Linked DNA regions of Saccharomyces cerevisiae S288C. The gene in region 1 interacts genetically with each later gene. Each region holds a gene or a part of one and is shown in the gene's direction. Other genes may lie near its edges. The genes, in order: ATG11, ATG1, STE50 and ATG17.

Region 1 (9,080 bases):
TGGTGCATGGAGTCACGCCCCATGAAAACAGGCTTTCGAGCATAGAATTCTGCAAGAATGCACCCTACAGCCCATATGTCTACGGACTTACTATACGGTTGGTTGGAAAGAAGCAGCTCAGGCGCCCTATACCATCTTGTAGCAACGTAGTTGGTTATATGGGGCTGCACAGTGGAATGACACTTGAAAAATCCGGCATGAATACCCCTAGCGAGACCAAAATCGCAGATCTTCAAACAGCCATTCAATGTGCACAATATGTTCCCAGGCTTCAAATCTCGGTGGATGACATCTGCACTGTGTATGTACTTTAGCCCACACAGGATTTGGTAAAGAAAGTATTTGATATGAAACTCCGAGAGCTGCACGGACGAATGTATGACTTTTGCCAAATCATAATCAATCAGTTCCTGGTAGCAATACAGTCCGTCATAGGGCGAGCTGGTCACTATCTCTAGATCGATTAGATTTACAATATTTTTATGGCCCTTGAAGAAGTTCATGAATTTTAGCTCACGGATGGCCCTTTTCAAAAGGATCTCCTTATTAAAGATGTTGCTGATCTTCTTTACCGCTATCCTAGCAGCTGGGCTTCGACCCTTAAACTTCACTGAGCACACTGTCCCATAGGCTCCCTTGCCCAGGAATTGGATTATCTCGTAGTATCCTGGGATGGATATTCTCTCCTTGGCAAAAATCGTCCTCTGTTGAGGAGCACCGAGGTTGGAGGCCACATTTATGGCTCTGGTATTATCTGTAAGTGTGCAATTCATTCTTGGAGCGTTGAGCACGTCTACATTTCTATCGATATGATGTATCGCACGACGTTAAATACTGTTCAAGTGTCACAAATTAGTGGCGCCGAATTCTACCCTCACGCCTCGTCGCGCGCGATACTTTTCGAATCACCCGCCTTTTGCCGCCTATTTTTTTCGCCGTTCGTTTATTTAGCGGTGGGCAAACAAACAACACAGTATTTATTACTGGTACCGACTGTTAAAGAAGGACTGTTTTGGGACGTGTTTTTTTCCTGTTTTTGCTCAATTGACTACCCTATACATAGTAAAGCACAGTCGCAATGGTCACCCCAAGAGAACCTAAGAAGAGAACCACTAGAAAGAAGAAGGACCCAAATGCCCCTAAGAGGGCTTTGTCCGCCTACATGTTTTTCGCTAACGAAAACAGAGATATTGTTCGTTCTGAAAATCCAGATATCACATTTGGACAAGTCGGCAAGAAGTTGGGTGAGAAGTGGAAGGCTCTAACGCCAGAGGAAAAGCAGCCTTACGAGGCCAAGGCCCAGGCCGATAAGAAGAGATATGAATCCGAAAAGGAGTTATATAACGCCACTTTGGCTTAGGGATACTTCCTCCCCGCGTTTTTGTCTGTGTGATTTAATTTCTTTTCCTCTTGTTCTTTTTGAAACTTGCTTTATTATCTCTCTCCTTTCTATTCCTCTTTTCTCTACTGCCCTTTTTCTATATCTATACATATGATTAAATAAATAAATAAAAAAATTGTATTATTAATATATATTTTATCATCATCGAGTGTTTTTCCTTTTATGTGGCCAGCCGGCCATGCATTAGGAACGTAGACCGAGTGCAGCTCTTTTCAGTCAACGGCAATATCAGTTTAAAGGCGTCCCCTTCATTCAAGTAGTAGCGGAACATCCGTTTCATTCTGATGAAACCCATTCCTTCATATAAGTTTAGAGCCGCCGAATTTTCCACCTCTGTTTCTAACATGATCTCATCGCAATGTTCCCTTTGCATTTTATCTATGGCAATTTCCACTAGTTTCTTTGCTATGCCATGCCCGCGGTATGTGGACTCTACGGCTAGCATTCCTATATATCCTCTCAGTCTCACGTTTCTATGCGGGTCCATCTTACACACTATGCAACCAATGGGTATGTTAGGCGTTCCACTCTTGTTGTCAACGGCAATGTACGTTAACTCGGGCCATTGGTTCAAGAAATACCTATATACGTATATCGAGTACGGCTCTGATAGATCCGCATCTATTAGTTTTTTAATACTAGCAAACTGCTCTTCGTTACGTATGTCCAATGGCTTGTACACTATTTCCATGTCCTGACCCAACGCCTTTTCTGTAGTAGTGGCTTTTTTATCTTGTAATCTCTTGTGAAACTTTGTTCTTCATGATTATTATTTTTAATAAGGCTTGCCATGGAGAGCCTTTTTATCGCTTTTGGCTACCCGGTTTCTTGGTAGGAATGGAACTATATAATAGCGATGCCCTTATTTGAGTACCATTTTCTCAAATCAGAACCAAAGTAGTCCTCCTTTGAACAACGATTATTTTAGTGTACTGTTGTTGTTCGGAAAGTACTTCTTTTATTTTCTTTTATACATCATGGCAGACGCTGATGAATATAGCACTGCACCTACCCAGCAAGAAATAACACCACTGCAGACAACAGCCACTATCATAAATGCAATATCTGGAGAATGTATAACTACGAATGTTGATTTTTTCGTTTCCCTGGACAAATTTAAACAGTTCATTGCTAGGAAATGGAAGATTCCTCCCGATCAGCTGCTGATTCTACTACCTTATGGTAACAAACTAAAACCGTCGATGTTTAAAGAGCTGCTTATTAATAGGTCTTTTACTCTAAATGATTTTTACGTTTACGACAGACGACTATTCTCACTTGTTAGTAAACCGACACCAACAAATCTTTTAACGTCTAAGGATTCTAATCCCATGAACTCCCCTAATTCCAACGACTTGACAGAGACTCTGGAATATTTAATTAAGAATAGTCATATATCTCAATACCAAGGTAGCGATACTATTATGATCAAGCCTATGCCCTCGCCTTTGGAGGACGCAGACGTAGATCTTTCGCGTTTAAATTACCATTCCGTAACTAGCTTACTGACGACGAACCTTGGTTGGCTAAGCGCTTTAGAAATAGATGTACATTATTTTAAGAGCCTCATACCAGACATAATAGCCCATATTAAGCGTATTTTTGATGGCTTAACCGTTTGCTCACAATATTTGAAGCTGTACTGCTTTGATGTAGAAAGTTTGTATAACTCAAACGTTCAATTTTTAAATCAGCTGGTAGACAATGGTATGACTTCAAAATGGGAAAAATGCTTCAATGACACCTTGAGTAAGTTGACTGCTTTAGAGGGTGATTCTTTACAAAAGTTCATTAATATTGAATCTCTCCTGGAGAACGAAAAATCTGTAAAGATTCTAAATCATTCAATCAATGGTAAGCTGAATAAAATTAAGAGGGAAATTGACGAAAATGCAAGTTTTAGAGATATTATAACAGTAAACATCGATCGACTGCGGCAAATGTTTACCCCGAATGAATCTAAATTCGAGCTTGAAGACCAAATGGCAGAGAGCTTTGAGGTACTGGTATCAGAAATGCGAACAAGAAGCAGAAATGTACTTGATAAAGAAGAAGAAGAATTCAATAGTCAAGAATTTTTGAAAAGCATGAATGTGATGTTGGAAAAGGATAAAAAAGAATCAGTGAAAACTCTCTTCACTATATCACAAGCGCTGTATTCACAAATAGGAGAACTAATAGATTTAAAAAAAAGTCTACAAAAGCATGCAGTAGCCATTTTGGGTAACATAGCATTCACCCAGATGGAAATCCTAGGTATTAAAAGACTATTATTGAATGAATGTAATAAAGATTTAGAGCTATACAAGAAATATGAGGTAGAATTTGCACAGGTAGAAGATTTGCCTCTGATATATGGGCTTTATTTAATCGAAAAATATCGTAGGCTATCATGGTTCCAACAAATTTTGTCATTTATCTCAAATTTTAATCAAGATTTAGAGTTGTTCAAACAAAATGAATTACGAACAAGAAATAAATGGGTTAAAAATTTCGGTTCCATCGCGACTGTTTTTTGCGAAGATCTATTGTCTTCCTCTGATTTCAAACGTCTAAACGAATATCACTCTCATACTTCTCCACCAAATGAAGATGAGGAAGATGAAAATGAGAATTCTATAGCAAATTACCGCCAAGACCTGGTAAAAGTATCGCAAGCCATTGATAATTATATGACGCAAATTAAAGAAACAGATGTTTCTGAACCGATCATTGATCTACTTTCGAAAACACTTTTTGAGACGAAGAGATTTCATATAATATATTCCAATTTCAAAAATAATAACAATAATAGTTCTAATGGCAATAGCATTTCCCCTGAAGGGTCTATTGCCTTGAAAAGTGATGATGTAGTCAAAGGATACAAAACAAGAATAAAAAAATTAGAATCGCTATTACATGAGTTTCAATATTCCGACATAGGCCATTGGCCTCAAGGTGTTCTCAATACCCATCTTAAGCCATTTCGTGGTTCTGCTACGAGTATAAACAAGAAGAAATTCCTGGGAGCATCTGTATTACTAGAGCCTGCCAATATTTCTGAAGTGAACATTGATAGTGTTTCGCAAGCTAATAATCATCAAATTCAAGAGTTAGAGAGTAATGTGGATGATCTATTACACCAACTTCAACTATTGAAAGAAGAAAATAATCGAAAATCAATGCAAATTTCGGAAATGGGGAAAAAAATAAGTGATCTAGAGGTGGAGAAGACAGCTTATCGCGAAACTTTGACTAATTTGAATCAAGAATTGGCAAGGTTAACTAATGAAGAACAATCGCATAGAACTGAAATTTTTACCCTCAATGCCTCTTTCAAAAAGCAATTGAATGATATAATTAGCCAAGACAATGAAAAGATAGAAAAGCTAACAGGTGACTATGATGATGTTAGCAAATCGAGGGAACGATTGCAAATGGATCTGGATGAATCTAATAAGAAGCATGAACAAGAGGTCAATTTGTTGAAGGCTGATATTGAAAGGCTCGGTAAACAAATTGTGACTTCAGAGAAAAGTTACGCTGAGACTAACTCAAGCTCGATGGAAAAAGGTGAGAAATTCGAAACCATTCCTCTTGCTGAGGACCCAGGTAGGGAAAACCAGATATCTGCATACACACAGACTCTGCAAGATAGAATATTTGATATAATATCGACAAATATTTTCATTTTGGAGAACATTGGGTTGCTGTTAACCTTCGACAATAATAATAACATCCAAATTAGACGAGTCAAGGGATTGAAAAAGGGAACCGCCCAAAGTAATATACTGGATGAAAGCACACAAATGCTGGACGCACATGATAATTCTCTAATAAAAAGTCCGGTTTTCCAGAAATTGAAAGATGAGTATGAATTAATAAAGTCAGTTGCCAATGGATCTGAAAAGGATACACAGCAAAGCATTTTTCTGGGGAATATCACTCAATTATATGACAATAAGCTTTATGAAGTTGCCGTTATCAGGAGATTCAAGGATATTGAGACCTTGGCCAAAAAATTAACTAAAGAAAATAAGATCAAGAGAACGCTATTGGAGAGATTCCAAAGGGAAAAGGTGACTTTGAGGAACTTTCAAATTGGCGATTTAGCATTATTTTTGCCAACACGAGAAAACGTTAATTCTGTCGGGTCTATGTCGTCTTCCACCTCATCATTGAGCTCATCATTTTCATCTGTTGATTTATCAACTCCACCGCCTTTGGATGCTATGTCTATACAATCGTCTCCCTCGGTGATACATAGTAATGTAATCAATCAAGCCAGTATATCTGGCAGGGACAAGAATAAACTGATGAGGCCTTGGGCTGCATTTACAGCTTTTGAAGAAAGCACAAGATATTTTTTAAAGGACGAAAAAGGATTGACGAAGGGGAAAGAATGGTTTGTAGGCAGAATTGTCACTTTGGAACATTTCGTAGCAGATAGCCCCTCTAATAATCCATTTAGACTACCAAAGGGCTCAGTTTGGTTTCAGGTCACTGCGGTTGTGGTTTCATACCAGGGAGTTTGAACAGTGCTAAACGTTTGTCACAAATGACAAGATTTTAATTATGTATCTATTTAACATTATAATGCGATAAGTCTTGTTATCGACTACCAAGTTTCCTGGATATATCTATCAGATTTTTCCATTTCTTTCAGGTATTTTTTGGCAGTTTCTTCATCACTAAAATTGCCCCATTTTTTTAACATTTCAATGAATGTTAATCTGACTTGGATAGGCATTTTACCTGATGAGCCACATAAGAAAAAAACGGCGTCTTTATTAACTACCAAATTAGTTATTTCCTCACCTAATCTCCATAAGTAGTCTTGGACATATTTAACACCTGGTGAATTTTCCTCATCTCTGGAAAAGGATGAATGTAAGGCAATTTTGCCCTTACGGAACCAATCTTCCAGCATATCTTTATAAATATAATCTTTATCTTTATATCTACAACCGAAGAGGAGTTTGATATCTTTAGATATCTCCGCTTTAACCACTGATAATAATGGTGCTAGACCGACACCCGGTCCGACAAGAATCATAGGTTTATTCAAAAATTCCTTTTTGATTATGTGATTATTTTGTAACTTATACCTTATCTGTTCCCCCTCTTGCAATCGTGCAATGTAGTTAGTGCAAATTCCTCTTCGAATTTTCCTTAAGATAGTTTTATATTTTACTATCGCAACTGTTAATTCAATATTAGGATCCCCAGGGCCGCTAGATATAGAGTAGTACCTTGGTTTAATGATGGGCAAGTAATCTAGCACATATTTCCAGGGCAACTTTACGGAGATAAAATCTTCCAGTACTTCAAGAATTGACCTTCTGGGTCTATTACAGTAGTCATATAAGTCCTGCATATCTTGATCAGTAGCAAATTGGCGCAATTTTTCTCTTTGATCATTCAGTTGTTCTTGGCCACGTTCCATCTTAGTTACATCAGTTGCAAAGGTCCAAATCTTCAAGAAAAAACTTGTTCTAGGAATGCTCATGAAATCACAGTGATATTTCAACAAGTTCCTTAAAGTCATCGGGCGAACTAATCCACCATCCTTAAGATCATTAGGAACTCCACTGGTGAAATTCAATGGTTTGTCCGCAATTTCTAACCAATGGCTTTGATTTGCTAGGAATCTTGAAACATCCTCATCTGTATTGCAAGGATATATGGTTACTGTATCACCGGGTTCATAGTTTTCTTGAATCTTGTCCACATTACTAAACTTGAACTGCCTCACGTCTTGGAAATGACCTTCAGATGTAATCCTTTTGTTTATATTAACTCTGCCAACCTTTAACGATTCATCACCTTCGAATATAACCTTGGTGCTAGTGAACTTTTCATTGGCATGTTCGTCTGAAAGCTGTAGGTAGGATGCTGGCTCTAGGTAAACCTCAGGGTCCAATTCTTCCCTCTTAATTATTTGGCCATTGACCTTTCTGTTGGGGTACTTACTTAAAAGAAAGCTTAGGACTTTCTTTTCATATTCAAAATATACTGATTCAATTCCGAGACCTGTACCCTTATTGCTACCAGCCATAGCCTGGTCGTCAGCCTCCAATCTATCGAATAATTCATTAGCACCCAATTGTGTGACAATGCGCTGATGTAGCTTTCTAATGCCGTAGTTAAACTTAGGATAAGATGAATCACCAAGTCCAAGCATGGCAGTTTGAATATGGTTGAGCAAATTCGACGGAAGATTCTTTCTCTTTAAAAACGACCAGAACGTGACGGGTCTTTCACCTTTTAATGCATTGACATTCCTTGGTAATTCACCTTGGCCTGTTGTGGAGCATATAATAAAAAGGTACCTGCATTTCAAGATATCCTGTGGGTCATAATCACCAATGGAGCAAAATGTATGGGAGAAATGCCAGCGATGTAGTCGATGGGATAAGATTGTAGCAAAATCATGCGCGTTACCTGTCTCCGATCCATAGAGGATGACGATTTTCTTGCTCGATGACATGCAGCGATTAATGGAAACACAGATGGCCTACTGTTGACTAGAATCTTCATGTTAATAAGGCTCATGAAATTTTTCGAATTTTTTTTTTTTATGTAGTCATCGCATTGCCGCAAATGCTTAGTAATTAAGAAAAACAGATAGATAGATGAACATAGATTGAAGTGATACAAAGAACCTGACAAAGTATTTACAAGATATATACAGCTGCGGTAAAACACCTGCAACTAGTTTGAGTCCGTATCCCTATCTGAGTTCTACGCTGTATTCTTTTACCAATTTAGAACACACCATGTCTTGCAAAGTGTTAACTTCGGCGTTTGTCAAATTTCTGTCCATTGATTGATAGTTGATCCTGTAGCACATAGATTTTCTCCCAGTTTTCGGATGCGTAAAGCTATCGACTAGCTTGACACTCTCTACCAAATCGCCAGCTATATTTCTGATAATTTCCATCAAATCATTTTCATGAACTTGATGAATATCTGGTTTATCTTCTGGTAACCAAAACGCAACATCCCTAAATGATCCCGGGTGTTTTGAATAAGGTTTGAAGGAAGTAATTAATCCCTTGGAGAATTGTCTTGAAAATCTTTCATCACGACTCCAAAGCAGTCTAATATCTGGAATTTCAAAAAGAAGCATAGCAATGCGGTCCAAACCCAAGCCAAAAGCCCACCCAATTGTTTCAGAAGGTTTATATCCGGCTCTTAGTAGCACATCTTGACGAATCAATCCGCATCCGCAGAGTTCGAGCCATTCGCCCTGCCACCAAACCTCTATTTCCCATGAGGGCGCGGTCCAGGGGAAGTAAGCGTTAATCCAACGGACTTTTAGCTCTTTGGGTGTATTATTCGCTTTGTTCTTGATCATGCTAGATATTTTTTTGTTAAAAACTTCAGAAACTATCAGTTCAATGGACCTCTTCAAATGTTGAGAGCACAAATCAACCTCCAGATCGGACATATACTCTTGTTTAGGATTATTTTCTTTCAAAGGTATAGTATCATCGTCAACCGTAATCTTTACATTTTCTTTATTTAAAAGGTTCTCTACCTGTCTGATATCTTCACGGATTTTCTCGATATACATTGGCTCCTTTACGCCCACATCAGCCTTCGTTCGTTTCCAAATTGTGGCTCCTTCCATTTGGTGGAATACCGGATAGTGAGTTTTGTCAATTTCATCTCTTCTGTACACATCTGCAGATAT
Region 2 (8,255 bases), on another chromosome or scaffold:
AGTCTTCCAAGGTAGGAGCATATGCCTCCAACAGACTTCGGCCCGAAGCATGCTGTGCTCACGGGAATTATATTGTGTGAAGCACATGCCACACTTTCCAAAAAAGAGTCAGAATGAGTCAGCCGGATAACCAAACGCGGACTGTGGCGCCACGGAAAACAGTGTGGCAAATTTATGGGCGGCTAATCTGCAAGCTCTATGCCTGGAAATGTAGATGTAATAATCAAGACACTTTTGTTCTTTCGTGTATAGTGCATGAAGGTTAAACCTCCGTAAATTCCTTGAACTCTTCTGGAATTCCAAATTCTTTTCTTATCTGTTCTGGCTTCAAAAAGAATTTCTTGTATAAATAATCAATGAGAATCTCAATGTTATCAGTAGTTTTCTCCAGATGCACTTTTTTTAGGCGGATCTGTTGTTTATTCTCTTGTATTTTTGCTGCATCCCATCTAATGCTTTCTATTTTTTGGAGACTATTACTCTTTTTCTTAATTTCATCCTGAATTTTTTTTCTCTTTTCCAGTAGAGCCTCCCTATTGTATGATTTTTGGCCTACCGTAAATTTTTTACGCCTTCCAGTTGCTAGCGTTTTGTCTAGTTCTTGTTTATAAGTGGCAATATCACACTTTACTTCCTGTATCTTTTTTTTTATCAACTCGCTTGAATCATACAATTTTTGCAGTGTCTGATTTTTAAAGCACCAGTAGATGTTAATATTACCACATTTTTCCACCGAAATGACGCCGTCTTCATCAATCATTTGTTGCACTAAATCTTTAACGATCATGGGTGAGATTCCGCATTTTTTAGGTATGCTTTTCTCTAATTCCTTGATGTTGTAGAATGTGTACGTCTCTTGAAAAAAGTTCAGAATCCGGTTCTTTTTCTCTTGGAGTGATACTGTCTGTCTCTTTGGCCCCTAATAATAAGAAGAGGGTAGCACGCACCCGTCTATAAGTTAGTGTTCAGTCCTGTGTACCATGATGGTTTTATTAGACATACCATTGTTGAATGTTTATGATACTACACATAAAGTTTCCGCCGTTTAGTCTATATCGCAAAGAATAACGGTGGGACGGGAGATCGCCTTTTATATGCAATTTCGTGATCTGGGCGGTTATTTTACTTTTTTTCGACGCATAAAAAAGCAGGAAAGATGGTAAATTCGGTTCGTTATTCAAGATTTTTAGAGCCAGAAAGATATTTGAGCGTGCCTTCGTGAGAAGAGGCTTAGGTTGAGACGATGATGCTGAAATTATGGCAAGACACGAATTCTTCTTCAAGTTTCCCTTGTCATAATAAGAAGAGAAAAACATACCTTTATGTCGGTTGCAATTAAGAAGGTTGTATAGAGCATCTCAAATGCTGCTTTTACTTTATTAAACGTTGACCAAATAATACGGCGCTTTTGTTTCGACAACGACACACTATGATGCAAAGCGGATCCGGGTAATCGATAAATGGGGGCACCCGGAAATTATTGTAAGTTGAAGAAAGTTAGTGTTGATCTCTAAATGCTTCACAAAAGGGTGGAAGAAGAACATTTTCTCTTGATCAATCATTAATATAGATGGAGGCAGCGTTCTGTCAATCACAGATTATAGTTTATTTATACTTAGTCAAAAATGAGGTTTAGGAGTTCTTCCCATAGCTTAAAACATGTTGACAGAGAATTAAAGGAGTTGATTAATTCGTCCGAGAATGCCAATAAATGCGGTGAATGTGGTAATTTCTACCCAACTTGGTGCTCAGTTAATTTGGGGGTTTTCCTTTGTGGTAGGTGTGCCTCTGTTCATAGAAAAGTTTTCGGTAGCAGAGACGACGATGCCTTTTCTAACGTTAAATCACTATCAATGGATAGATGGACAAGAGAGGATATCGATGAATTAGTGAGTCTTGGAGGCAATAAGGGGAATGCTCGGTTCTGGAATCCTAAAAATGTCCCTTTTCCTTTTGATGGAGATGATGACAAAGCCATCGTGGAGCATTACATTAGAGACAAGTATATTTTGGGTAAATTCAGGTATGATGAAATAAAGCCTGAAGACTTTGGATCCAGAATGGATGATTTTGATGGGGAATCGGACAGGTTTGATGAAAGAAATAGAAGTAGGAGCAGGAGCAGATCTCATTCTTTCTATAAAGGGGGCCATAATAGGTCTGACTACGGCGGTTCCAGGGACTCATTCCAAAGCAGTGGAAGCAGATATTCTAGGCAACTGGCAGAACTCAAGGACATGGGTTTCGGTGATACAAACAAAAATTTAGATGCATTATCGTCCGCTCACGGAAATATCAATAGAGCAATCGATTATCTAGAAAAAAGTTCAAGTTCAAGAAATAGTGTATCGGCAGCAGCGACAACATCAACTCCGCCCCTGCCCAGGAGACGTGCGACAACAAGTGGCCCACAGCCAGCTATTTTTGATGGTACAAATGTAATCACGCCAGATTTTACTTCAAATTCAGCATCTTTTGTACAAGCAAAGCCAGCAGTTTTCGATGGTACCCTTCAACAGTATTACGATCCTGCTACCGGAATGATATATGTAGATCAGCAGCAATACGCCATGGCTATGCAACAGCAGCAACAGCAACAGCAACAGCTTGCTGTCGCACAGGCTCAGGCTCAGGCACAGGCACAGGCACAGGCTCAAGTTCAGGCTCAGGCTCAGGCTCAGGCCCAGGCTCAGGCTCAAGCACAGCAGATCCAGATGCAACAGCTTCAGATGCAGCAACAGCAACAGGCGCCATTATCTTTTCAGCAAATGTCGCAAGGAGGAAACCTGCCACAAGGTTATTTCTACACACAATAAAAATAAGATACATTGCCGCTGCTCCGCATTACATATCATATAGAGTGACACTAAGTAATTAAATGACACTAAGTAACGAAAGATATCTGTAAACAACGACTATATACCAGAATTAGTCATATTCTCTATTGTATTCACCCTACACAGCCGCATTACACAGCTGCTCCGGACGTTTTACGCTGCACATCAATGACTAATACCACTGTATTTGATCCACACTTAGCGCAAAAGTCACCTGGGTGGCGTTTTCCGCTCGCGCTCCGCCGGTGAGAGCGAGAAAAAAAAAAGGGATTGGGCGGTAATGTAAGGAAAACCCACTAGTTAAAATCAATGAGATAAGGAACTCTCTTTTTTTCCCGTTAATCATCTTTTCCTTGTTCGTTTCGTGTATCTGTAATGAATCTTATCGGAGTAACTATTACTGGAAAGCCATACCGTTAAAGAAGCAAGCATATCATTCGTATTCAAGCATCTGTTTTTCTTTTTAACCGCTCGGCTCTGATTTCTTAAACCATTTCCCCCATCAGCATCAGTTTGTGATTTGTAACTATATCGATCGTGGAATCGATGGAATTCTAAGCGTCATTTAGTTGGCAACAAAAGGAATCGAGCATCTCATAAAGGAGCTTATATTATTAATATCTTCCTGATCGTACTATTTTTTTTTAGCTTTTTATTTTTTAGGCCGAGGTTAATTCTAGAACGCCACATTTCATCACCTTTAAGTTAAGTACCAAGGCCATCTTTTACCCTTTTTAGTTTCTGGGGAAACAGAGAACAGTACTATAGAAGATAAAAAGATATAATACAATCGTAGTAATAGTACCCATAATAAAATAACATATAATATAATAAAAACATAAGGCAAAGGAGATAGGAGAATAATCATTGATATCTCCACAAAACGAATTTGAAGCTACCCCATATTTTCAAATCTCTTTTACAACACCAGACGAGAAATTAAGAAAATGGGAGACATTAAAAATAAAGATCACACAACCTCTGTGAACCATAATCTAATGGCAAGTGCAGGAAATTACACCGCTGAGAAAGAAATCGGAAAGGGTTCGTTTGCCACTGTATATAGAGGGCATCTGACATCCGACAAATCTCAGCATGTAGCCATAAAGGAAGTATCAAGGGCGAAATTAAAAAATAAGAAATTACTAGAGAATTTGGAAATAGAAATCGCTATCTTGAAGAAAATCAAGCATCCTCATATCGTCGGACTTATTGACTGTGAACGAACATCAACAGATTTTTATTTGATCATGGAGTACTGTGCTCTTGGGGACCTAACATTTCTGTTGAAAAGGCGTAAAGAATTGATGGAGAATCATCCTCTACTAAGGACCGTATTTGAAAAATACCCTCCACCGAGTGAGAACCATAACGGCCTGCATAGAGCGTTTGTCTTGAGTTATTTACAGCAGTTAGCGTCCGCTTTGAAATTTTTGAGGTCTAAAAACTTGGTTCATAGAGACATCAAGCCTCAAAACTTACTATTATCTACACCCCTAATTGGATATCATGATTCAAAAAGCTTCCATGAACTTGGATTTGTTGGGATCTACAACTTACCCATTTTAAAGATAGCAGATTTCGGGTTTGCAAGATTTTTGCCAAACACGTCATTAGCAGAAACTCTTTGTGGCTCACCATTATATATGGCACCAGAAATTTTGAATTATCAAAAATATAACGCTAAAGCAGATCTGTGGTCTGTCGGTACAGTGGTATTCGAAATGTGCTGTGGCACCCCACCGTTTAGAGCTTCCAATCATTTGGAGTTATTCAAGAAAATTAAAAGAGCAAACGATGTCATAACGTTTCCTTCATATTGCAATATTGAACCAGAGTTAAAAGAGTTGATATGTAGTTTATTGACATTTGATCCAGCCCAAAGAATAGGATTTGAGGAGTTTTTTGCTAACAAGGTAGTCAACGAAGACTTGTCTTCTTATGAATTGGAAGATGATTTACCTGAGTTAGAATCCAAATCAAAAGGTATTGTAGAAAGTAATATGTTCGTTTCTGAGTATTTATCTAAACAGCCAAAGAGTCCGAACAGTAATCTTGCAGGTCATCAATCAATGGCAGATAATCCCGCGGAGCTCAGTGATGCCCTCAAGAACAGCAATATATTAACTGCCCCAGCCGTTAAAACAGACCATACACAAGCCGTAGATAAAAAGGCTTCAAATAATAAATACCATAATAGCCTAGTTTCAGATAGAAGCTTTGAAAGAGAATATGTGGTGGTAGAGAAGAAATCGGTTGAAGTTAATTCATTGGCAGACGAGGTTGCTCAAGCAGGATTCAATCCAAATCCTATTAAGCACCCAACTTCAACTCAAAATCAGAACGTCTTATTGAATGAGCAATTCTCTCCAAACAATCAACAGTATTTTCAAAATCAAGGAGAAAATCCGAGGTTACTGAGGGCCACATCATCTTCCAGTGGAGGTAGTGATGGGTCTAGGCGACCATCTTTGGTGGATAGACGCTTGTCTATATCCTCGCTGAATCCATCTAATGCATTATCAAGAGCCCTCGGTATTGCATCAACGAGATTGTTTGGTGGTGCAAATCAACAGCAGCAACAGCAACAAATCACATCTTCCCCACCGTACAGTCAAACTTTGTTGAATTCCCAACTTTTTCATGAACTTACTGAGAATATAATATTAAGAATAGATCACCTACAGCATCCAGAGACACTGAAATTAGATAATACTAATATCGTTAGTATTTTGGAATCTCTGGCCGCAAAGGCATTTGTTGTTTACTCTTATGCAGAAGTGAAATTTTCTCAAATTGTTCCATTATCAACAACATTAAAAGGCATGGCTAACTTTGAGAACAGGCGCAGTATGGATAGTAATGCTATTGCAGAAGAACAAGACTCAGACGATGCAGAAGAAGAGGATGAAACGTTGAAAAAGTACAAGGAAGATTGCTTATCCACGAAAACTTTTGGAAAGGGTAGAACTTTATCTGCCACATCTCAGTTGAGTGCAACTTTCAATAAACTACCACGTTCGGAAATGATCCTTCTATGTAATGAGGCCATTGTCTTATATATGAAGGCATTATCCATTTTATCAAAATCTATGCAGGTAACGTCCAACTGGTGGTATGAATCTCAAGAAAAATCATGTTCTCTAAGAGTTAACGTGTTGGTACAGTGGCTAAGGGAAAAATTTAATGAATGTTTAGAAAAAGCTGATTTCCTGAGATTAAAAATTAACGACTTGAGATTCAAGCATGCTTCTGAGGTAGCTGAAAATCAAACTTTGGAAGAAAAAGGTAGTTCGGAAGAGCCAGTATATTTAGAAAAGCTATTATATGATCGTGCATTAGAAATATCTAAGATGGCCGCACATATGGAATTAAAAGGAGAAAATTTGTACAACTGTGAATTAGCTTATGCAACTTCACTTTGGATGTTAGAAACTTCTCTGGACGATGATGATTTTACGAATGCCTATGGTGACTACCCTTTTAAAACTAACATACATCTAAAAAGTAACGACGTTGAAGATAAAGAGAAGTATCATAGTGTGTTGGATGAAAATGACAGAATAATCATAAGAAAGTATATTGATAGTATTGCAAACAGGTTGAAAATATTGAGGCAGAAGATGAACCACCAAAATTAAGTGATGCATAATATGGTTTTCTTATTAAGTACAAATGACCTGCTATATTTTCAAGTATCTTCATGATTATGTTATGCTACTCTCGAAATGCTTTACGAGTTCGTCATTAAAGTATTCAAATTTTATTTTCCCTTTGTGTTTTGTTTTGTTTTTATTTCTACGTGATTTTTTTCTTGAAATCCAGCTCTTTTATACCTGGATGGGTTTTATTTTGATGTTTAAATGTTAATTAAGGAAATTATTGAATTCCTTCGGTTTCGGTGTGTTTTTTTCTTTTTAAGTTTTTTTTTGTTGCGTTTAGTACTTGCCTTTGGCTATACATATCCTTTTAATCTAATTTTTATTTCTTCAAAATTTGATTCTTTAACCTTTTGTTCTATATATATATATAAATGTATGTATGTATGATTTGATTGAGGAGGCTTTAACAAGTCATTAATATCTTTATTATTTTTACTTGTTGAGTTCATTAAAATTCATTTTATAATTTGTTGTTACAAACAGTATTTTACAAGTCATAATAAACGTTCAAAAACAAACACAATATTAAAAGAATTGGTATTAGGATCCGACATGACAATTAACTTAGATCCTTCTATCAAGTTTCTAATCATATATTACATCTATTAAAATAATTTACATATATCATGCTAAAGCTTATAAAGAGACATTCTTCTTCTCGTGCGCTGGGCGTCGCTAGCCTCAAATACAAGTGATGCGTCTGCTTCTATTCTAAGGTCATCCTTGCTGTTAGATTTCCCTTCTACCAGGTGGGCTTTTATACGTTGAGGTACATTACCGACAGGCGTAAGAGTAGAGCTCAAACTTGCTTCCGTACTCTCAAAGGGATATTCTCCTACAGGAGACATAGTTGTATATTGTGGAAACTCACAAGAATTCACTCTTAATGAACTTCCACTCTCACCTATCAAGCATTGTTGATCACCGATTGCTGGGGCATCCTGAATACTGATCTGAGATGCAAAAGCGGTGGATGATGTGAAAGAGGAAAAGGACGAATAGGATGACTCTCTAGAACCGATGTTGTGATATGCTGAGGGTGATAAGGTATTTGCGTCGTATATTGATGGAGAATATGTTGAATTTCTGTCAGCACCAGTCCTAAGGTTATTGTGGTCAAAATTTTCCATATAAACGCTATCTAAAGAGGCGAATGATGAATTCACTGGTAGGCTGACCAATTCTACCCTTTTGCATGAAGAGGGCGGTGAAACTTTCAACTCATGAAACGTCTCCAAATTGGTCAATACGGATGCTGCATCGCTTTTACCATAATGGCACATAAACGGATGTACCTTGATGTCTGCTAGTTTTATCCGTTTGTCAGGATCTTTTTGTAACAGCTTCTTCAATAAATCTTTGGCATCAGTGTATTCTTCCATTGTGATTCCCGAAGTGGCACCATTCAACATTTCCTCATAAGATGGAAATTCTAAGGGTTTATTGATAATACTGTCGAAAAGTTCTAATCCTGAATTGGCGTTGAAAGGCAACTTTCCAAACAACAAGCAGTATATAGTGACCCCCAATGACCAGATATCGATGGCAGATGAGCAGGAATACTCTTTTTCAGTGGAGCAAAGCTCAGGTGCAAAAAAAGCAGGGGTCCCTAAGGCTCTAGATTTTAAAAGTTGTTCATGCGATGATTGTATATTAGTACTTCCGGTGGCAGTTGACATAGCAACGCCAAAATCGGATATTTTCACCGTTCCGTTTGATGAAATTAACAGGTTCGATGGTTTGATATCTCGATGCG
Region 3 (6,379 bases), on another chromosome or scaffold:
GCAGCCCAAAGGAATGAGCGACACCGCTTGGTTCGAAGCCATTCAGAAGAAAATGTTAGGAATGAATGGTACCATCAAGCTCCTAGAGACAGAACAGAAACTACTGGCTGACGAGAAAAACAGCGTGAGGAAGACGTTCTGGCCCATGGTGGAAGCACATTCACGCTCGAATGAATTTGCTTATCTGGAGAAATGCATCAGGCTGATGGCCTCTCAGAGAGCAATATGCTTTTGTCTTGATATAGAGGCTTTCGAAACAAACCAGAACGTAATCACCGAAATTGGGATTTCAATTTATGACCCCAGGGAAAATATGGTGCCGTCAATGGTTCCAATTACAAAGAATTACCACCTAATTATCGAGGAGTCCCTGGAACTTAGAAACCAAAAATGGGTCTGTGACTACAAGGATTGCTACTTATTGGGAGAAAGCTATGTTTTGAGCTTGAAAGAGTGCGTGCATTTCATTCAATCACTAATAAACTATTACTTGGTCCCGGTGACCGAAGAAGACAAGACATGGTCAAGGGCATTTGTTGGTCATCACGTGAGCGGGGATCTTAAGTGGCTGGAGACTATTGGTGTCAAATTCCCTGGCAGAGGGTATGAAGGCCATCTGGACCATACGCTGCTTTTGGCTGAAACTCCCGGTGATCTAGACGTGTTCATCTTGGACACTGAGCAGTTTTACAGGAAATCGTATGGCGAAAAGGGCAGCAGTCTGGGCAAGATTCTGCGGTTGTTCGAGATACCGCATGCGTTTCTACACAATGCCGGTAACGATGCCTACTATACCCTGCATTTGTTCATGAAGTTTTGCGATGTTAATTTCAGGAAAATAAGCGGCATGGACGATGTTCTTAAAGTAATGGGCCAAGTAAAAGTTTGGGGAGAACGAGACGTACGAGAGCCTAAAGTGGTGCCCATGTCGTATGCCATCTCCATCGAGGAGGCAGTCAAAAATCGGACGTACCGCAAGGGCGTCAAGAGCAGTAGGAAGGAAAGAGTCTGCCAAACGGAATTCGGTGGGTTAACGTATTTCGGAACTGCTAAAGACGCCTTCACAAGCACTCTTCCGACACACTAAATATATTCATCGATTTTTTTCCTGTAAATACAAACACATGCTTGTATACATATACATATACATATATATAAGCTCATTATAAACCTGTGTGCATGGAAAAAACTTTGTCTGCCCTTAATTTGCAAGAATAGGTTCTAACAATTCCTCCAATTCACCAGTCTCCCTCAATTCCTGCAAGTCGTCGTTGCCTCCAATATGTTTACCATTAATATAGATGTTTGGCACGGTTCTTTGGCCATTAATCTCATATAACGCAGCCTGAATGTCTGCGCCTTCCTTCATGTCATTCAATTGCAAAACCAGAACTTTGGACCTGGGAACCTTTAACTTTTCAAAAAGCGTGTTTAGGGCTGCATGGCAGTATGGACAGTACGTTTTGGATGCGACGAAGATCTCGTTTTCTGCAATAAGGTCCTTGACGTGCTTGATAGTTTCTTGAGATACCATTTTTTTTCCTTCTGAGGTTTTGTCTATTTGTATAATTATGCGAATGCTCGTATAAGTACTGCACGAAGTTCTTTATTTTATGCTAAAGTCCCTTTTTATATTATATAAACTTTTCATTTATTTTATATATTTACTCCTTTCAAGACAAAATTCCCACATCACGTGAATCAGGAGGCGCAAGGGGGGTAGTAAGGCAGTAGTAGATAAAGAAAACAAGCATCGCAATCTGGAAACGCCGTTGCGGCTGCTCGTTATCTGTAGACAGCTCACTTGTGCATGAAGTTCATGTTTTATAGATGATGGAGCCATACTTCAAGGTGATAACTATGAAACTGTTTTGACCTTGACGTGTAAAGTGATCAAGGTAATAGTTAAACTTTATATATGTTGTTTATCAATGTGGTATCCTTTCTAAGGATGAAGACAACACGATTGTGACAGTGTGAGAGAGTGATAAAGCATTGGAGGCAGGCAAAACAAGAACATGGGGTTTCTTTCGGATCATCCGCATACAGCTATCACCGAGACGATCTTTCGAATTGTCTCTTCAAGGGACTATACGCTAGAAGTGGAGTTAGCTCCCTTGATTCAGCTTATCAAAGCAGATCACAACGATTATAACTATACCGTGAACCAAGAAGAAGCTGCGCGAGCACTTAGAAAGAAAATAAAGTATGGGAACCGGCTGCAGCAGTCCAGGACTCTGGACCTCTTGGATCTGTTCATCTCACAAGGCGTGAAGTTTACAGTCATGTACAATGATGACAAGCTGCTGCAAAGGCTGAGAGGGATGGCTACGAACTCTGAAAACAGCGGGTCCGGTGAAAAGTATGAGCCTAGGATTATTAAGAAGTGCGCGGCGTATGCTATCTCGTGGCTAAACTATATTACGCAGAACAACCTTGAGAATGCGAGGGCGTATTCAGGTCTTTATCAATTGGGTCAAACAGTCAAACAGAGGTACTCGAAGAGCAGCCGTTCCCGCCGTAGCGGCGGAGGCTCTGGCGGACGGTCTAACTTCATGGATGATAGCGCCGACGACACTTTGTACCAGTCCAACTCGCTGACTAGTGCCGATAGATTGTATAGGATTCCACAGATCAACATGAACAAAGAGGCACCCAGGATTCGGCTCATAATCAGCGATGCTCTCGCGTCTGCTGTGTCGTTACAGAACTCGCTGATCGGGCTGCCCAAGGGCAAGTTCTCCACAGACGATGAAGAGGCCACGTCCAAGTTCATCCAGGCAAGGGCGATCAGAAGGAAAGTTCTTAGATATCTGCAATTGGTCACGGAGGGTGAGTTTCTGGGTAGCTTAATTCATGCCAATGATGAACTGGTGGCTGCGTTGACTGCATACGACGACCGAAGCGCTCAGGACGATAGCAGCGATGAAAGTGATCACGGCTCGTACGATGACGGTATTTATGATGAAAACGAGCAGGATAACAGCAGGTATATTGATAGCGAGTCCTCAGAGGAAGAGAGCTTGTCTTCTTATCAGCCGTCCACGATCTCAAACCCTTTCGGTGATCATAACAAAATTTGAAGAAGTATGTACGTATGCATACACACATATATATATATATATATATAGTACATTTAATCCTTCTTGAGGTTTAAAGACGCACTGTTCACACAGTGTCTGGTGTCCTTGGGCAAGTTTAGCAACTGTTTCCAGCCTTCACCTTCAAACACATGTCCCAAGTGTCCACCACACCTTGCACAACATATCTCCACCCTCGCAGGCATTAAAGAATTGTCACGATGATATGTGATGGCTCCAGGGGATACCTCTTCGTAGAATGCGGGCCATCCACAACGAGCGTCGAACTTGGCCTTGCTCGAATACAACGGTCTGTCGCAGTTGGCACAATGGTAGACACCGGACTCGTTGGTGTGTAAATACGCACCGGTGTTGGGCCTTTCAGTGGCCTTATCTCTCAGCACCATCAGCTGCAATGGTGTCAGGGCATCGTTCCACTTCACGTCATTCGATTCGTCACTCATTTTCTTGCTCTTATTCCAGTACTGCGTCAGTACAATGTTTCTTCTCCCTGGAAAAGTCCTGCGTACAGTTATAACGTACAGCCTGCTCCACTTATTCATTTTTTGATATTGCTTCCTTTCTCCCTTTATTTAAACTATCATCGGCGACATATTTCCCAATAGGCAAAGCTGAAAAATACTATCGCTAATTATAACAAAGAAGCTAGGTCGAAGGACTCGAAAAGACAGAGGTCGTACTAGCAGAGATAGCAAATCAGATGGAGGACGGTAAACAGGCCATCAATGAGGGATCAAACGATGCTTCGCCGGATCTGGACGTGAATGGCACAATATTGATGAATAATGAAGACTTTTCCCAGTGGTCGGTTGATGATGTGATAACTTGGTGTATATCCACGCTGGAGGTGGAAGAAACCGATCCATTATGTCAGAGACTGCGAGAAAATGATATTGTAGGAGATCTTTTGCCGGAATTGTGCTTGCAAGATTGCCAGGACTTGTGTGACGGTGATTTGAATAAGGCCATAAAATTCAAGATACTGATCAATAAGATGAGAGACAGCAAGTTGGAGTGGAAGGACGACAAGACTCAAGAGGACATGATAACGGTACTGAAAAACTTGTACACTACTACATCTGCGAAATTGCAAGAATTTCAATCGCAGTACACAAGGCTGAGGATGGATGTCTTGGACGTAATGAAGACCAGCTCAAGCTCTTCTCCGATTAACACACATGGAGTGTCCACTACGGTACCTTCTTCAAACAACACAATTATACCCAGTAGTGACGGTGTGTCTCTTTCACAAACAGACTATTTCGACACAGTTCATAACCGACAATCACCGTCAAGGAGAGAATCCCCGGTAACGGTATTTAGGCAACCCAGTCTTTCCCACTCAAAATCTTTGCACAAGGATAGCAAAAACAAAGTACCCCAAATATCTACAAACCAATCTCACCCATCTGCCGTTTCAACAGCGAACACACCGGGGCCATCACCTAACGAGGCGTTAAAACAGTTGCGTGCATCTAAAGAAGACTCCTGCGAACGGATCTTGAAAAACGCAATGAAAAGACATAACTTAGCAGATCAGGATTGGAGACAATATGTCTTGGTCATTTGCTATGGGGATCAAGAGAGGCTGTTAGAATTGAACGAAAAGCCTGTGATCATATTCAAGAACTTAAAGCAACAGGGTTTGCACCCCGCCATTATGTTAAGAAGAAGAGGTGATTTCGAAGAAGTAGCAATGATGAACGGAAGTGACAATGTCACCCCCGGTGGAAGACTCTAATGTGCAGTTGTCATGCACATCATCATACTAAACTTACACGAATAGGATAACATGTATGCTAGCAGAATATATATGAAAGAAAAAAATTATTGATGCCTTTAAACTTATACTATTATACTATATTATGTTATATTATATTATTAGTTTTATAGATATATTGAGATATGTTGAATATGATGACGAGGATGGTGGTTTAAGTGTATGGATTGAATTTTCTCTTAGCTTTCATTACCTTGATTCTTTCTTGATCTTCCTTAAATTTACTTAACAGTTGATTGATCTCCTGTTTTTTACGTTCTCTGACCTGAAATCTATAGAAATCTTTCTTTGCCTTTTTATCTATATTTGAAATTGGCTTGGCCTTATTTTCATGTTTGGATAATGGATTTTTGTTTAATATTTTCTTTCTTATGGAATTCAATGACTTGGTGTTCTTTCCTACAACTAATGTGAATCCATCCTCATCCACTATAGAACTTTGAACATCCTCTTGTGCTTGAGCTTCACGCTGTTCAAAAATTGCCATATGTGTATGAATATCTTCTTTCAAATAATCAATATCCAGTGGTTTGTAGAAGTTAACAAAAGTTGTGAATGATGGAGTCGTATATGTCCATTCAAATAGTTCATTTGGATGTTTGGCATGCAAATTCGAGTATTTTTTCAAAGCATTCCAGCAGTTATTTATACTTGCAGCATCAACAAATTTTAATAGCGCCGTGTTTCTTGGTGTGTATCTCTTCTCGTTGACGTCAGTGGAGGACATCAGATCGGAGGTCAATGCCGATAAATCTACTTCATGTAATCCAAATTCATCGTTATATAGTAGTTCCTCTACATGCGATACTGTATCGTATTTCCCACAGAGCTGCCCGACAAATTTCTTCATGTGCTCTATGTTAGATAATAATGGAAGGTTGACCAAAAACAAACAGTCAGACTCGTTGGAATTTGAACTCTGGTGTCTTTTAGCAAACATGAAATGCAACGAAGCTTCCTGGCTTTTGGGTAGTGCCTTGTGATCCGGTAATTTGAACGGCACCACTATAAACCCGTTCTTCATGGCGCTAATGTCTTCAATACCCATCCCGTAACACTCTATCTGAGGTTGTTATCTGTTACCTAGTTCGTTCGCCCTAAATGCCTCTTGCTTTACCATCCTCTCAATGTTCTCTTCTTTTTCCTGCTTATTTCTTAGGTGACCAAAAAGTGAAAAATTTTCCAATTTAACTTACGTCGTTCGAAGTGATGACAATAAGGATATTCATTTATTAATCGCTATTTGATACCCACTCTTGCTACTACCTCTCTTTTAATCCAAAATTACAATTTTTACGTTACCATTCATTACATAGTGTATCTCTATTCATTCAAGACTGTATTTTGTTTGATATATATATGTATATATACATATTATTTTCGTTAGTGTTCGGTTTCCAAGTTAGAAATAATCTACTGGAAATCCTTTGGGATCAACCCAAGCTTACTCATTCTGATTTTCACAGCGTTTCTGTGACCGTCTAGACCCTCCTTCTTG
Region 4 (6,535 bases), on another chromosome or scaffold:
TAGTATATTATCATATACGGTGTTAGAAGATGACGCAAATGATGAGAAATAGTCATCTAAATTAGTGGAAGCTGAAACGCAAGGATTGATAATGTAATAGGATCAATGAATATTAACATATAAAATGATGATAATAATATTTATAGAATTGTGTAGAATTGCAGATTCCCTTTTATGGATTCCTAAATCCTCGAGGAGAACTTCTAGTATATCTACATACCTAATATTATAGCCTTAATCACAATGGAATCCCAACAATTACATCAAAATCCACATACTCTACAAATTTAAAGAAGTTTAACTCCAACAATAGCCGTTACTAACAAGAATCCCAAAAAGTATCAAATTATTCGCTGATTCTTCAAAACTATTTGAAAAAAAAAATCTCACATTTTTGATATTCCAACATAAGTAATTGAAGGTCAATGATAGAAGCTATCAATAATATTATATAATTTTTAACTCAGCAGATATCGGAAATAAAAGACTCCATGGCCAAGTTGGTTAAGGCGTGCGACTGTTAATCGCAAGATCGTGAGTTCAACCCTCACTGGGGTCGTTTATTTTTTTTGCATTAAATTATTTAGTGAGCTAAAAACTCCATTAAAATAGTAATCGTATAAACTAATATCAAGTGAAGCTGACTACTTGATTAGGCTCACTACTTAGCCACATTCGGGCTTTCTTCTGTCTTTCTTGGAAAATAACAGCTCCATTTGATCTTGATATAAAAAAGGTCCTTTGATCCCATCCGAAACTCGTTTCCTTCTGCCACAACTCTTAACAGTCTAACTACGAGAGTCTAGCGAAGTATAAAAGTTTAAACAATAAATTTTGGAAACATTTCAAGGGCAAAATACCAACAACTATCAAATAAGGGGAATTAATAGACTCCACTTTAAATTAATCCATTGTCTAAAAATGGTAATGCAATTATTATTTATTTAGTAATCTAATCAATTTTGTTTTTCGACAATAATATATAAATCGTGCCTATCTCACCTCTTTTATAGGTACTTTCTAGAGGTCAAGGGCCCATAAATAAATTGGCTTAAAGGTCCCACTGGAATCCTCCACCCAAAGAATATCATGTTTCAAAGCAACTTCCATTTTTTTCTTCCCGTTTCGGATCTCAAATAAAGGAACTATACAATCTTGGTCTCTTCCATATGGCAGTTGAGTGTACCTATTTGGTATTTTGCTGATCAAGTACCCTTTTTCCAGGCAGTAGTCTTCTACCACATCCTTGAAAGAGCTGCTAACTTTTCCAAGCGGAATATTTTGTACAGTATAGGTAGGTTCTTGTTCGCTTTGACTAATATCGTCGATCACTTGTGTTTCCATTAAGTTTCGTAAACCCTGTCTCAAATCGAAATCTTCATCTAATGTAGATTTATCAAGGTGGTACCTATGAGACATAGCGAATATATTATAGCTTTTTCTGATCTCCGATAGTTCTATTTCTGTTGGTAAAGAGTGCTCAAATACCGTATTCATCAGCCAATTAAGCCACCACTTTGACTTGTGTAAGTCTTCCACTGTACTATAAAGATGCCATTGATAGAGTATTTTGTTTATATTATTAAAGGTTCCCCGCATCATCAATTCATACTGTTTTGGATGAAAATAATGGGTATAACTTCTCAGTTTTTTCATAAAATAGAAAAATCCAGAATCTTTTTCTTTCCATTCCTGTTTTTCCTTCCAATCCTCTAACTCGTAGATGGGGTCATTATGTCTTTCCCACAGCTCGTCCAGGAATTTAGGAAGAAACTCTTTACATAAAATTTTGTAATATCTTCGTTCGCAGATAAGTTCTTTGATAAATATAATATCAGAATTAGTGATACAAAATGATTCCCTATGGTACCAATTTTTACAATAAGCAAAAAATTTTGCTTCAATCTTGTCCACAATTGTGTCTTTGATCTTATCGTCAATTAAAACCATAAAATCCAAGACCCATATTCTTGGCGAAACATGGTCTACTTCATCGTGAAGTTCCCAATTATCTAATTCCTGTAATAGCTTTGGATAGACGAATTCCTCCATGATATGCTCTTTACACCCGATAAAACTTAGCACTTGTTGGAAATCCAGTAATAGGGTGATAGCGCTGTCGATTTTTGATTTAGTCATATCAAACCCTTCCCAAAATTTTTTGAGTTTGGGATATATAACTTTAAAGATTGTTGTTTGTGTCCTGTTCAAAAATTTCGAAGTTGTATCCATTCTATATGCGAGTAGTTCTATAATTTGCGTTAACTCATCAAGTATATCGTTTGGCTTTTCTAAATGATCCAAATCAAATTCTATTAGTAATTCTTTTCTCAATAAGCAGGACGTTAGCCTATCTATGAGCTCGTCGTCGGACAATTTTAAAATAGCACCAATCTTATCATACAGGGAAACATGCTTGCTTTCGTCCCTCAAAGTAACCTCCAATTCAGAAAGAAGCCTCTCTTGTCCATAATATTCTTTGACTTGCACTTCTAACGGAGAGGTGCGCTGACGAATAGCTTCCAAACTTTTTTCAATACCCAGCAGCTCTTGCAATATCTCCACAACAACATCTTTTTTCGGCTTTGGTACTGCATTTAAAGGGTCTAATTCTTTTAGGATACTCTCTGGTAATTGTACCCCTGCTAACCTCAATTCTCTCAGTGTTCGCACTATAGTCATATCACCACTATCATTTAACAACGCTTCGCCTAAAACCTCCGTGGAGGTTTTATTGAATTTGACTTGTTCTATACCTTCAACCACCTCATCCTCAGAGCTCAAGTAATCCTCATTTTCACTGTGATAGTTACTGGAGTTGGTATTTGAAAACATTCCTAGACCTGCATTGTGCATAGGTCGGCTTTGGGTTTCTATTGGTGTAGTTATACCAGAACCATCCTTCCCAAGGCCTTTTCCCGCAACATATCCCATACTCGAAAGTAACTTCGCACCAATACCATATGTCTTCGTTAATTTTGAGATCGTTGGGGCATTGCCGCTACTAGTTTTCAAGGCATCATTAGTGTATGTCATGTCACTATTCATGCTTGAATTATTATCTTCCTCATCGCTATAATTATAGGAATCGATTCTTCTTTTTTTGAAAAAGAACTTTTTATCTGTGTTGGAGTCCGAATCCTCCATGTTTTGGCGTACTGAAGGCTTAAGTTCTTCGACCTCTCTCGGTTGTACTATTTCGAAATTTTGGATTTTTGTTATTGTTTTGACATAATGTAAATACTAGATGCGCGCTCTAAGGCCTCAGTATTAAAAATTGCAAGATATCCCTAACTTGATAATTATTTGAAAGTCGCATAACGTACGATAAATTCGATACTGCGAGGATATTATCAACGTATTTAACACCTATGAACGAAGCAGATGTTACAAAATTTGTTAATAATGCCAGGAAAACGCTGACCGATGCTCAACTTTTATGTTCAAGTGCTAATTTAAGGATTGTAGATATTAAGAAAAAATTGTCATCTTGGCAGTTGAGTATTTCAAAACTCAATTTTCTAATAGTTGGCTTGAGACAGCAAGGAAAGTTTCTTTACACTATTTTAAAGGAAGGCATTGGGACAAAGCTAATCCAGAAACAATGGAATCAAGCTGTCTTAGTGGTCTTAGTTGATGAGATGAAGTACTGGCAATATGAAATCACTTCTAAAGTACAAAGGTTGGATGGTATAGTAAATGAATTGAGCATATCAGAAAAAGATGATACCGATCCCTCTAAACTAGGAGATTACATCTCGAGAGACAACGTTAACTTATTGAATGACAAACTGAAAGAAGTGCCAGTAATTGAGCGTCAAATTGAAAACATTAAGCTTCAATACGAAAATATGGTCAGAAAAGTTAACAAAGAACTGATTGATACCAAGTTGACGGACGTAACTCAAAAATTCCAAAGTAAATTTGGTATAGATAACCTGATGGAAACAAATGTTGCAGAGCAGTTTAGCAGGGAACTAACGGACCTTGAAAAAGATTTAGCAGAGATAATGAATTCATTGACACAGCACTTTGATAAGACATTGCTGTTACAAGATAAAAAAATTGATAACGATGAACGTGAGGAGCTGTTTAAGGTGGTACAAGGCGACGACAAAGAACTATACAACATTTTCAAAACTCTGCATGAGGTAATTGATGACGTGGACAAAACAATTCTTAACTTGGGTCAATTTTTGCAGGCAAAAATAAAGGAAAAGACAGAACTACACAGCGAAGTTTCTGAAATAATAAACGATTTCAATAGAAATTTGGAATATCTATTAATCTTTAAAGATATTTCCAATCTGATTGATAGCTTCAAAAATTCCTGTACACAAGATATTCAAACAACTAAGGAACTTTGTGAATTTTATGATAATTTTGAAGAAAGCTACGGTAACTTAGTTCTAGAAGCAAAGAGGAGAAAGGATGTGGCAAACAGAATGAAAACTATATTGAAAGATTGTGAAAAGCAGTTGCAGAATTTAGATGCTCAGGACCAGGAAGAACGTCAGAATTTTATAGCGGAAAATGGAACTTATCTTCCTGAGACAATCTGGCCCGGTAAAATTGACGATTTTTCTTCCCTGTACACTTTAAATTACAACGTGAAGAATCCTTAGAAAAAAGGAAAAAAAGGATACGGTACAAAGATTCAATAATTGTATCAATATTTCGAAAAATACTTTATCAAAAAAGCAATACTTGAAGGAGAAAGGAAAAAATTCGCTGTCTTCTTCACTTTTACGACAAAGAAAAATGTGCCCTTTTCAACTAAAAGTCATGAATGAATAAATAAATGATTACATATGCGTATATTTTATAGTGAACAACTTCTGACATATTATCCCGAATGTGAGTAATCATGCTTGTGCTGTGAATCTGTGTTGGTGTTTGGCTGTGACCCTGCCAAAAAGGTGCTCGAAGTGCCGGAAACAATTCCACTTTTATCCAAACTGCTCGTAGTGGACGAGTGGGATAACGTTCTTGTTAAATATTTTCCAAAAAGTAAACTGTTTGGGCCAAATGAGTCGCTATGTTCTAATACAAATTGGCTATGATTGGACCCTGAGGTGTGATGATCCCTTCCAGAAAAGCTTGCCTTTTTATTGGGGTTCTTGTGCGAAATTATTCGAGCAGTAATCATGTTATTCCTGCTACGATTGGCCTCACTGAGAGTACGACTATATCTTTCTATCTCCTCAGCGAAATTTTCCTCAAAAAGACGCACTAGAAGATCATGTGATGGTTTTAGATCCTTTGATGGTAGTAGTTCTGCATGCAACGTTAGACAGCGACCTAATACTGCAACAAGCTCATCAAAAGCTAGCGTCAATCTTCCTAAATCATCAGTACTGAACTGCTTGGATGTGGAGGGTTCTAAAAAGGCCTTGTACTGTGATATGCCTCCATTAACTGGAGCTGATATTGTTCCCGTAATATTTGTAGAAAGCTCGGTAAATAAATCGTTCACATCACCGTGGTCCTTCAGAGTTTTATTGCACATGTTTTCAAGCCCATATAACTCCTGTATTTTAACTTGTAAGGAACGAATTGCATTTTCAAGTGGAGAAAGTTTGCTCTTCGTAACCTTTACAATTTCTGATCTATTCATTAGTGTTGGAAAAGTATTCATAGTATGATACGTATATTCCTCCACCCACAGGTCAGTGACTCCTTTTGCGCCTGGCAAACGTCGAGAATTACTGAAAGTCCTCAAATCTCTATTCTCAATGTACATCCGCACTTTGTTGTTAATTGAGCTTTTCTTGTCACTACTGTTGTAATTATCGGATATACTTAAGCACGGTTCGACGGAAGCTACATGAATGTATTTTCCCATTGGAGGATTCATCAATAACATATCCACTTCTTCTTGTGAGTGTACAATATTTGACCCATGATAGCTTCGTAGAAGCCTGTCATGCATAGACGTAATGTGTTCAAATGGGAGACCCTCAAAGACGAACGATTTATTTCTTAATGATTTTGGAAAACCAAATCCCATGAAAGAAACTTTAAAATACGTTGGAACCAGTCTATCAATGGACTGTAATCTGGTATAAATGCCTGCTATTTGGTCATGTACAAAGGCCAGCCCGTTTAAATCATAATTGATCTCATCGTAGGCTTTTATCAAGTCCTTGTATACCGCTAAAGCTTTTTCTGGTTTTTGGCCTCTCGAAAAGTTTCTTGCGGATTCCTTAAGAAGATATTCCTTCCTCTCAAATGAAGATTGCTCTGGCAATGGCGGGAAAGATATTGCTTCAAGAGTATCATTAGAATCCCAAGCGTACGTACCTGCCAAGAGTTCTAGACTCAAAGCTGCTTGAACAAAGTCTTTTTTCTGAATAAAGTGGATAAACAAATCATATATCATTTTATGAAACAACTCTGGCCTGTTTGCTTCTAGCAAGTACTCGAACATCTCTATGTGCCGAGCAGTCCGATCATCATCAAATTCTTCTTGATTAGGTATTTTGTAGATTTCATTTACAATATGCAAAAAACCAAGTAAATCTCTTAAGAAATC

What was found.
Region 2: of ATG11 (region 1) and ATG1, changing one enhances a phenotype caused by changing the other (phenotypic enhancement), as found in Saccharomyces cerevisiae (2 studies listed by BioGRID).
Region 3: mutations in ATG11 (region 1) and STE50 together harm fitness more than expected from each alone (negative genetic interaction), as found in Saccharomyces cerevisiae (2 studies listed by BioGRID).
Region 4: of ATG11 (region 1) and ATG17, changing one enhances a phenotype caused by changing the other (phenotypic enhancement), as found in Saccharomyces cerevisiae (5 studies listed by BioGRID).

Annotation. Positions count from the first base shown.
Region 1 is NC_001148.4:657,973-667,052, reverse strand, and holds ATG11 (autophagy protein ATG11), read left to right. Parts: upstream 1-2,379; coding exon 2,380-5,916; downstream 5,917-9,080. Other genes in the region: mitogen-activated protein kinase SMK1, read right to left, coding at 1-773; YPR053C (uncharacterized protein), read left to right, coding at 810-1,265; NHP6A (high-mobility group nucleosome-binding protein), read left to right, coding at 1,079-1,360; peptide alpha-N-acetyltransferase MAK3, read right to left, coding at 1,563-2,093; TAH18 (NAPDH-dependent diflavin reductase), read right to left, coding at 6,000-7,871; MSF1 (phenylalanine--tRNA ligase), read right to left, coding at 8,115-9,080. UniProt on the Saccharomyces cerevisiae protein: Involved in cytoplasm to vacuole transport (Cvt), pexophagy, mitophagy and nucleophagy. Recruits mitochondria for their selective degradation via autophagy (mitophagy) during starvation, through its interaction with ATG32.
Region 2 is NC_001139.9:156,281-164,535, forward strand, and holds ATG1 (serine/threonine protein kinase ATG1), read left to right. Parts: upstream 1-3,784; coding exon 3,785-6,478; downstream 6,479-8,255. Other genes in the region: MND1 (Mnd1p), read right to left, coding at 263-919, 1,003-1,005; GTS1 (Gts1p), read left to right, coding at 1,626-2,816; serine/threonine protein kinase TOS3, read right to left, coding at 7,129-8,255. UniProt on the Saccharomyces cerevisiae protein: Serine/threonine protein kinase involved in the cytoplasm to vacuole transport (Cvt) and found to be essential in autophagy, where it is required for the formation of autophagosomes.
Region 3 is NC_001135.5:59,640-66,018, forward strand, and holds STE50 (Ste50p), read left to right. Parts: upstream 1-3,801; coding exon 3,802-4,842; downstream 4,843-6,379. Other genes in the region: GFD2 (Gfd2p), read left to right, coding at 1-1,087; dithiol glutaredoxin GRX1, read right to left, coding at 1,202-1,534; LSB5 (Lsb5p), read left to right, coding at 2,019-3,083; MXR2 (peptide-methionine (R)-S-oxide reductase), read right to left, coding at 3,137-3,643; RRP7 (Rrp7p), read right to left, coding at 5,036-5,929; HIS4 (trifunctional histidinol dehydrogenase/phosphoribosyl-AMP cyclohydrolase/phosphoribosyl-ATP diphosphatase), read right to left, coding at 6,295-6,379.
Region 4 is NC_001144.5:970,007-976,541, reverse strand, and holds ATG17 (protein kinase regulatory subunit ATG17), read left to right. Parts: upstream 1-3,371; coding exon 3,372-4,625; downstream 4,626-6,535. Other genes in the region: mRNA splicing protein SPP382, read right to left, coding at 1,021-3,147; guanine nucleotide exchange factor DCK1, read right to left, coding at 4,847-6,535. UniProt on the Saccharomyces cerevisiae protein: Autophagy-specific protein that functions with ATG13, ATG29, and CIS1/ATG31 in response to autophagy-inducing signals as a scaffold to recruit other ATG proteins to organize pre-autophagosomal structure (PAS) formation.